Yarrowia lipolytica: one gene and its partner. The protein of the gene in region 1 purifies or fractionates together with the protein of each later gene. This does not show direct contact. Links are inferred from orthologs where the notes say so. Each region holds a gene or a part of one and is shown in the gene's direction. Other genes may lie near its edges.

Evidence for each region. The genes of interacting proteins can lie anywhere in the genome.
Region 2: the proteins of YALI1_E33858g (region 1) and YALI1_B09333g purify together in Saccharomyces cerevisiae (affinity purification with western blotting; 4 studies listed by BioGRID, with this or other methods). This does not show direct contact. The link is inferred for Yarrowia lipolytica from reciprocal best matches to the Saccharomyces cerevisiae genes SEN34 and SEN2.

What each region holds. Positions count from the first base shown.
Region 1 is NC_090774.1:3,383,913-3,387,158, forward strand, and holds YALI1_E33858g (uncharacterized protein), read left to right. Parts: upstream 1-1,885; coding exon 1,886-2,683; downstream 2,684-3,246. Other genes in the region: YALI1_E33843g (uncharacterized protein), read left to right, coding at 363-1,085. UniProt on the Saccharomyces cerevisiae protein: Constitutes one of the two catalytic subunit of the tRNA-splicing endonuclease complex, a complex responsible for identification and cleavage of the splice sites in pre-tRNA. It cleaves pre-tRNA at the 5'- and 3'-splice sites to release the intron.
Region 2 is NC_090771.1:931,756-935,276, reverse strand, and holds YALI1_B09333g (uncharacterized protein), read left to right. Parts: upstream 1-1,878; coding exon 1,879-2,907; downstream 2,908-3,521. Other genes in the region: YALI1_B09320g (uncharacterized protein), read left to right, coding at 2,962-3,193, 3,256-3,422; YALI1_B09316g (uncharacterized protein), read left to right, coding at 3,430-3,521. UniProt on the Saccharomyces cerevisiae protein: Constitutes one of the two catalytic subunit of the tRNA-splicing endonuclease complex, a complex responsible for identification and cleavage of the splice sites in pre-tRNA. It cleaves pre-tRNA at the 5'- and 3'-splice sites to release the intron.

The sequences.
Region 1 (3,246 bases):
ATGCAGCCTTCTTCTTTTCCCGAAAAGTCACTCATTTTCTCGCAGGTGTGCCCATTAGCAAAACACAGACTCTCCAGCCCTTCCTCATAGAGTTCAAGCGTCATCAATTGGGTATCTGACCATACTGTACTATATCTTGGCCAATACAGATGATGAGTAAATTCTGAAAAGCGCATTCTTTTCTAAGTAGACTAGAAACTTGATTTCCTTACTCACCCCAACCCCATATACGCGTACATGCCACCTGAATGTCACTCAGGGCATAATACCCCACCTGTGGATAAACTCTATTCTTCCCCGGATATCTCCCACAGTGACCTCTCTTCTATCACTGTCACCTAACACACAACACACCAAACACAATGGCGACGCTTGCAAGGACGGCCAAGATCTTTGGACTCTCGCTCGTTGCTGGAGCTACTGCCATGACCGGGTACCACTTCGGTGCTCTGGGGCGTCATGAGCTGACTTATCCGGTTGCTACCGAGAAGGATCATTTTCACTCCAAGGAGAGCACCTTTCTTCACAACAGTCAATTCGCCAAGGAGCTGCGGGAGAAAGGTTTTCGTGAGACCCGTTTGAGTGAGAAGATTCCTCTGGAGTACTCTCGAGGATTCCTGGAGTCGTTTCTGAAGAAGCCTGGATACCTGACCGTTGATCCACTGCTGTTCTACAAGCGGTGTGATGACGGAAAGAACGGTGTCATGTATGCATTTCTGCACGTCGGCGACCATTTAAACGGACACACTGGAATCGTGCATGGTGGTTTCCTGGGCACCCTGCTGGATGAGTTTGTATGTCTGGGGGCCTTCCCCAGCCTGCCCTCTCAGCAGTACGGAGTGACTGGCACCCTGGAGATCAATTACCGACAACCAGTTCGAGAGAACCAGTACCTCATGGTGCGAGTGGAGACTAAGGACATTCAGGGCCGAAAGGTAATTGCTGACGGATCTATCGAGAAGTTTGAGGGAGGTGATCTGTGGGAGAAGAAGAAGCAGAACGTGCTTGCTGAGGCTGAGCTGGTGGTCATTGAGCCCAAGTGGATTAAGGAGATGACTCAGTACTTTAAGAAGAAAGACGAGTAGTAAGGATCTGGAGATGAAGGCAGTGTTTTGGCTACTGGACTCAAAGTCTGCTCGCTCAGTCAGAGAGAAGCTACCACGTGAGCAGCAATGAGGTGGGACAATAAGTGACCATGTCTGTTTTGTTAGATGTGTAACAATGTTTTTAATTTGTTTATGTGACACTGGCGGGACATGTTGTCTCAATGGGAGATGTCGATATAGAAGCTACGAGTAGCGAACTGCGAGGCGTTCAGGTCATACCGGAGGCCTATTGTAGGAGGTGTGAGGAGGATGAAATACTTCAGCTGTATTCAGCTACCCTAATGAATTTGCTGAAACTGAAATATTAGATCCTTCAACAGAATCATCATATCCTCAGGCTTGCCTGGTCCCTTTTAGGATTGAGCTCACACAGATGTCTCTTATCCGTCATACAGAATTTGAAACGGTATAGTCAGTAAAAAATTGATAACCACTTACAGTCTACTGTATCGTACCAAAGCATCAATGTTCTCCATGAATTTTCACTACAACTACAAGTAGCTTCCGTTACAAAGAATGCGTGTCTGAAACACACTATAGACCATTTATTTAGCCTTCTAAAGTCACCAAAAATATATGTTGTGTCGAATTTTAGAAGTTATAACATTGTACCACAAGTTCTCGAAAAACGTCTACTCATCTCGCTCCTTACTGTTCCACAACCCCCTCCCAAGCCCTTCATCACCACCGATTAAACTTCGGCCTTATCGAAAATAAGCTCATGGTTGTACATATTTTGATGCATATTTCTGTCCACCTAATTTTTTCCTCACCACATCATGATCCAGATCAAACGCATCAACGACAAGTATCTGGTGTTTAAGGTAGAGGACATCCGGTTTCTCCGGCAAGAGCATCTCATTGGAGGCACGTTAATCGGTACGCTACCTCAAATCCCCCAACAGAATGTCTTCTGTGGCCTGCCACTGCAACTGTTCAAGGAAGAGGTGATATTTCTGATGAAGAATGGAATTGCAGAGGTTGTGGACGATAGTGCAAGTCATGTGACAGCCCTTACTTCCCAAACGCCTGAAGATATCGAAAACTACGAAAAACAACGCCATACAGCCCAGCAACTGCAGATCAAGGAGTATACAGAGGGTATGCTTGAGCGACGTCGGCAGGCTCTTGAGAAGAAGGGAATGAGCGGGAAGATTGACAAGGAGGTTGTGGTTGCTACTGATAACGCCATATCATACGTCACTGATGCTACCACTACAAATGAGACGCTGGAGGGATACAACATGTTCAGCAAGGAGAATGTGCTGAGCGACCTGCTAGAGCACGTGACTTCGGCTCAGTATTATATCTTCAACTTTTTGCATTCCCGAGGGTATTTCTTGTCACCTGGCCTGCGGTTTGGAGGCAATTTTTTGGCATACCCCGGAGACTCCGTCAGATACCACTCCCATTACATTGCTATTGGCAAGGAGTATGAGGAGAAATTCCCCATCAAAAGTGTTATTGTTGGAGGAGGGCGTCTTGGAACTAATGTAAAGAAGTGTCTTGTTCTTGGGGGAGAGAATGACGAGGGTGGGGACAGTGTGTATTGCATTGAGTGGAGTGGTTTTGGTTAGATGAAGAGTGGGTGACAATGTACATACTATAATGAAAAATGATAATAAAAAGCTGAGGGATCTGATTGGGTTGTTGCTACTTATAATATAGATCGTTGACAAAGACCGCAATGTTTTCTTTAAGAAACCTTTGTGGTGTTGTTTATAGGTTCTTTTACAATACAATGTCAAAGGGTTTGCCATATGATCTTCATTTTGGTGTCGTATGAAAAATTACGGCGAGGAGATGAAACCATCAAGAAAAACAACTGTTGACGTTCACCAGATATACTGTAGAGCTTCTTTGAGCTTCACAAAAGCTGTCGCTTCCTACAAAGTACAAGTACAAGTACAAGTACATAGATATTCCTGCTCACACCAGAGCCCACCTTGATGCAGCATGTATTTGTACAGTAGCCTTACACGTACAATAGGAACAAACAGAGAAGTGTGGTGATGTCGTCTTCTCCTGCCGACTACAGCAACGTAGTAAATCCCTTGTTTCCACGTGACCATTCAGTCGATTTTCGTTTTCGTTTTCCTTAACCATTCGTCTAAGCTCTCACCATCAAGCTTGCTTGCGG
Region 2 (3,521 bases), on another chromosome or scaffold:
TCTGAATCTGGTTTCAACCTGGATTCGTTGCCATAATCTGGAGTCGGTGCTATCAGCCCAGTAAGACTACACTTCAAGAAGCTGCCCAAGTGGACTCTGGGATTGTGGCTTTCTCTTGTTGGATTCCAGTATGGATCTCGTCCGTCTGACCCGACTATCGTCTGTCTGATCCAAGTATCGCTCGTCTGATCCGAGTATGGATCTCCTCTGTCAGGTTCAAGGACTCCAGCTTCTTCAGCGCTGCCCACACATGTTCTCAAGCATGTGTTTTGATAGACCAACTAGCTGTATCAGAGCCCGGGCTCCTCGTGTCAAGTTTCGTTGCTCGCCATATTGGAGAACTTGGAAGGCGCTCGCTACTTCGATATTCTGGTAACTATCTTGTGTTTTTCGACCTGAAATCAAATCACACAGGCTATTTGGAGTCAATTGAACTGGTTTGTGGCGACAATTGAGCAATATTACCACTATTAGCGGGCTCCCAAGATCCCATCGGTGCCTTCGGGGTTAGATGCCGACATACAGGCATATTTAGACCAACAGGGTTGCATTAGAATGTCTATAACGGGAGGTTGAGGGGTTATATAACGTCCCAATAGATTTTTGGAATCATTATGACTTCCCAGAAACTTCAAGACTTTGTATGAGTTGTTTATTAGGCGAGTTGAAGATATCAATATACTACTTAAGTTTAGTTAAGAAATTGAAAAAATCCGAATACGTACTTGTAAAAGTACTCTTTTTAGTAGTTTAATACATTAATAATCAGGTTAAAACTCTCTAAATCCACTCTATATACTTATTTAAGAAATTAATTGTAGTTTTATACAAAATAATATCATTCTAGATACATATTACTAGAAAACACTTTTGTTGCCTTTACTTGACTGACACATCTCAATTGAGTCTATTTACTGATGCTCAAGTAATTAATTCAAGTCCATGGACCCATATCAATACACATCAGAGACGTTCAAATCTGACCAGATAAAGTCTTATCTAGCACTACTCGCCGTCAAAAATCAAGCTGAAACTCCGGTATTCCTCCTTCGCCTCCTAATCTTCCCTAAAATGGGATGTTTTTTTATTCTTTTTTATGATTTTTTTATTCTAAATATGATTTAATTTTCTCCCTTCCTTCTCAAAAACTCCCCTATCGAACCTTGCCCCAACTTTCGGTTGTATAGTGTAGTGGTTATCACCTTGGATTCTGACGAAAGCTCAGCTAACTTCCAGTAACCCCGGTTCGAGTCCGGGTACGACCTATCTTTTTGTCGGCTTCTTTTTTGGCCCGTTCGAGAGCTCCAGGCGTCTTGTATGTCAATCATACATACTTGTTATAGGTTATGAGCTAAGACTATAGAGTGCCAACTAACACCCCATCTGAAAAACATGATCCTGTGAAGCTCAAGACGTGATTTTTGAAACCCAAGTTCTCCTTGCCGTTTGCTACCGTCTCCAATTTCAAAATTCCAAAAATGCCCACCCTATCGTGCCCTATACACCCCCTCCCTACCCCATAGTAAACACCAGTCTTACACACATATTTCAGAACTCCCAACCCCCGGGTAACCGCGGTGGGTAGTTATAAAGCAGAAAAAATCCACCCCTTGTCGTCATAACCACAGAGCCCATTGGTGAGTACCAACCGACACAAACAGGGAGAGCGCACAGCGCACAGCGCACAGCACACAGTCGCGCGCACAATGCTCTTCCTCTTGACATGATGATATCGAAAACCTTTCTTGAACTCCTGAGAGTGATTTCTTATAGACTACAACGGTATCTGATTTTTGTGATTCTGCCCTTGTTGCCTTTTTTTCCGCCTTACTAACCAAAGTCCGCCGTCGTTGAGCTCGCACAGCGCCAATTTGTGTAATGAAAAAACAAAACTTGAACGCGTTATACCCCCATCCATACCCGTATGTGGTGGATGTCGTGCCACCGGTGATACACAATCCCATCTCGGTGTTGTATTTTCTCTGTAGATGGATCTTTGCCGGCAATACAAGCCCAGAGTATACCGCCGAGTATGTTGATGGTGTAGTTCGGGCCGTTGGAGACGCTCGCGAGGGTCTGTGGAAGATGGGCTTCTTTGGCAAGGGCATCTTGTCTCGGTCCGAGCCCTCGTGGGACATTCGAACCAAGAGACGTCTGGGTCTCCATGTGGAGGAGGGGGTGTATGCCCCTGAAGAGGTGACTCAGTTCCGACGAGAGCAGCGGCAGCATTTCAAAGCCGAGCGAGCCAAGGCCGAGGAGGAGGAGCTCAAGAGACGCCAGGACATTGATCGGGGTCTGGCGGTGGCTGACAAGAATGAAGACGACAAGCCTGTTCGTCCGGAGTTTGATCGGGACGCGTTTCTCGCCAAGTCTTACGAAATGGAGAAACGAACGGAAGACGACGAGGTGGTGGATTCGCTGGGCAACCTCGTGGATATCGAGTTTCTACAGCTCATGGACGTGGAGGCGCTGTTTCTTCACATGGCGTTTGGACTCAAGGTCGGCGACATGGATGTGAAGGCCATGGTTGACGAGTTCACCCGCAAGGACCCTCGGTTTCTGACCTATTACGCCGTCTACCACCACTACCGATCGCTAGGTTGGTGCGTTCGGTCGGGCATCAAGTTTGGAGCCGACTTTCTGCTGTACAAGAAGGGTCCTCCGTTCACCCATGCCGAGTTCTGCATCAAGGTGATGCCTAAGGACGAGCCCATGCCCGACTTTTGGTGGCAGTCGAACCTGTGTCGAGTCATTGGCGGAGTCAAGAAGACCACTGTCTTTTGTTTTGTGGATGTGCCAAAGGTCGAGGGCGTTGTCGATGATGCCAAGCTGGTGGAGGTGTTGAAGCAGTTCAAGGTGCGAGAGGTGGTGTATAGGCGGTGGATTCCCTCGAGGAATCGGGACTAGCGGCGGTGGCGGGTGACAGAGTGAGATTTGAACGGATATGCCGGAACTCTCAGAATGTTCTTCACCAGAGACTTCACCAGAAACTTCACCAGAAACCTCACCAGAAACTTCACCAGAAACTTCACCAGAAACTTCACCAGAAACTTCACCAGAAACCTCACCAGAAACTTCACCAGAAACTTCACCAGCAACTTCACCAGCAACTTCACCAGCAACATTCTTCACCAGAAACTCCACCAGCAACATTCACACCAGAACCGTGCTTGTCCCCACCAGCAACAATGCCGTTGAACAGACCCAAGGTCTTGGTCACTGCCCATTGAATCTCGCAGGCGTGACGCCAATCAGCAAAGACCCACAAGCGCCACCAATTTCAAGTCTGTACTTTAGAAGATGGAGCCAGAGATCCTGAATTGGAATCCACGGAGATCGAACAAGTAACCATTAGTTTCAACCAGAAGCAACAGTTCCTTCGTCATATCATCTCTTTTCCTCCAGTATATCGTCACCGTTGACATATGTATGGACTTCTTCAGCTCAATAGTTCCTTATCCACGGAGATCTCTTACATCCACCCCTCTAGAACGGATTTATCGATCTCGATCTAGACTGTG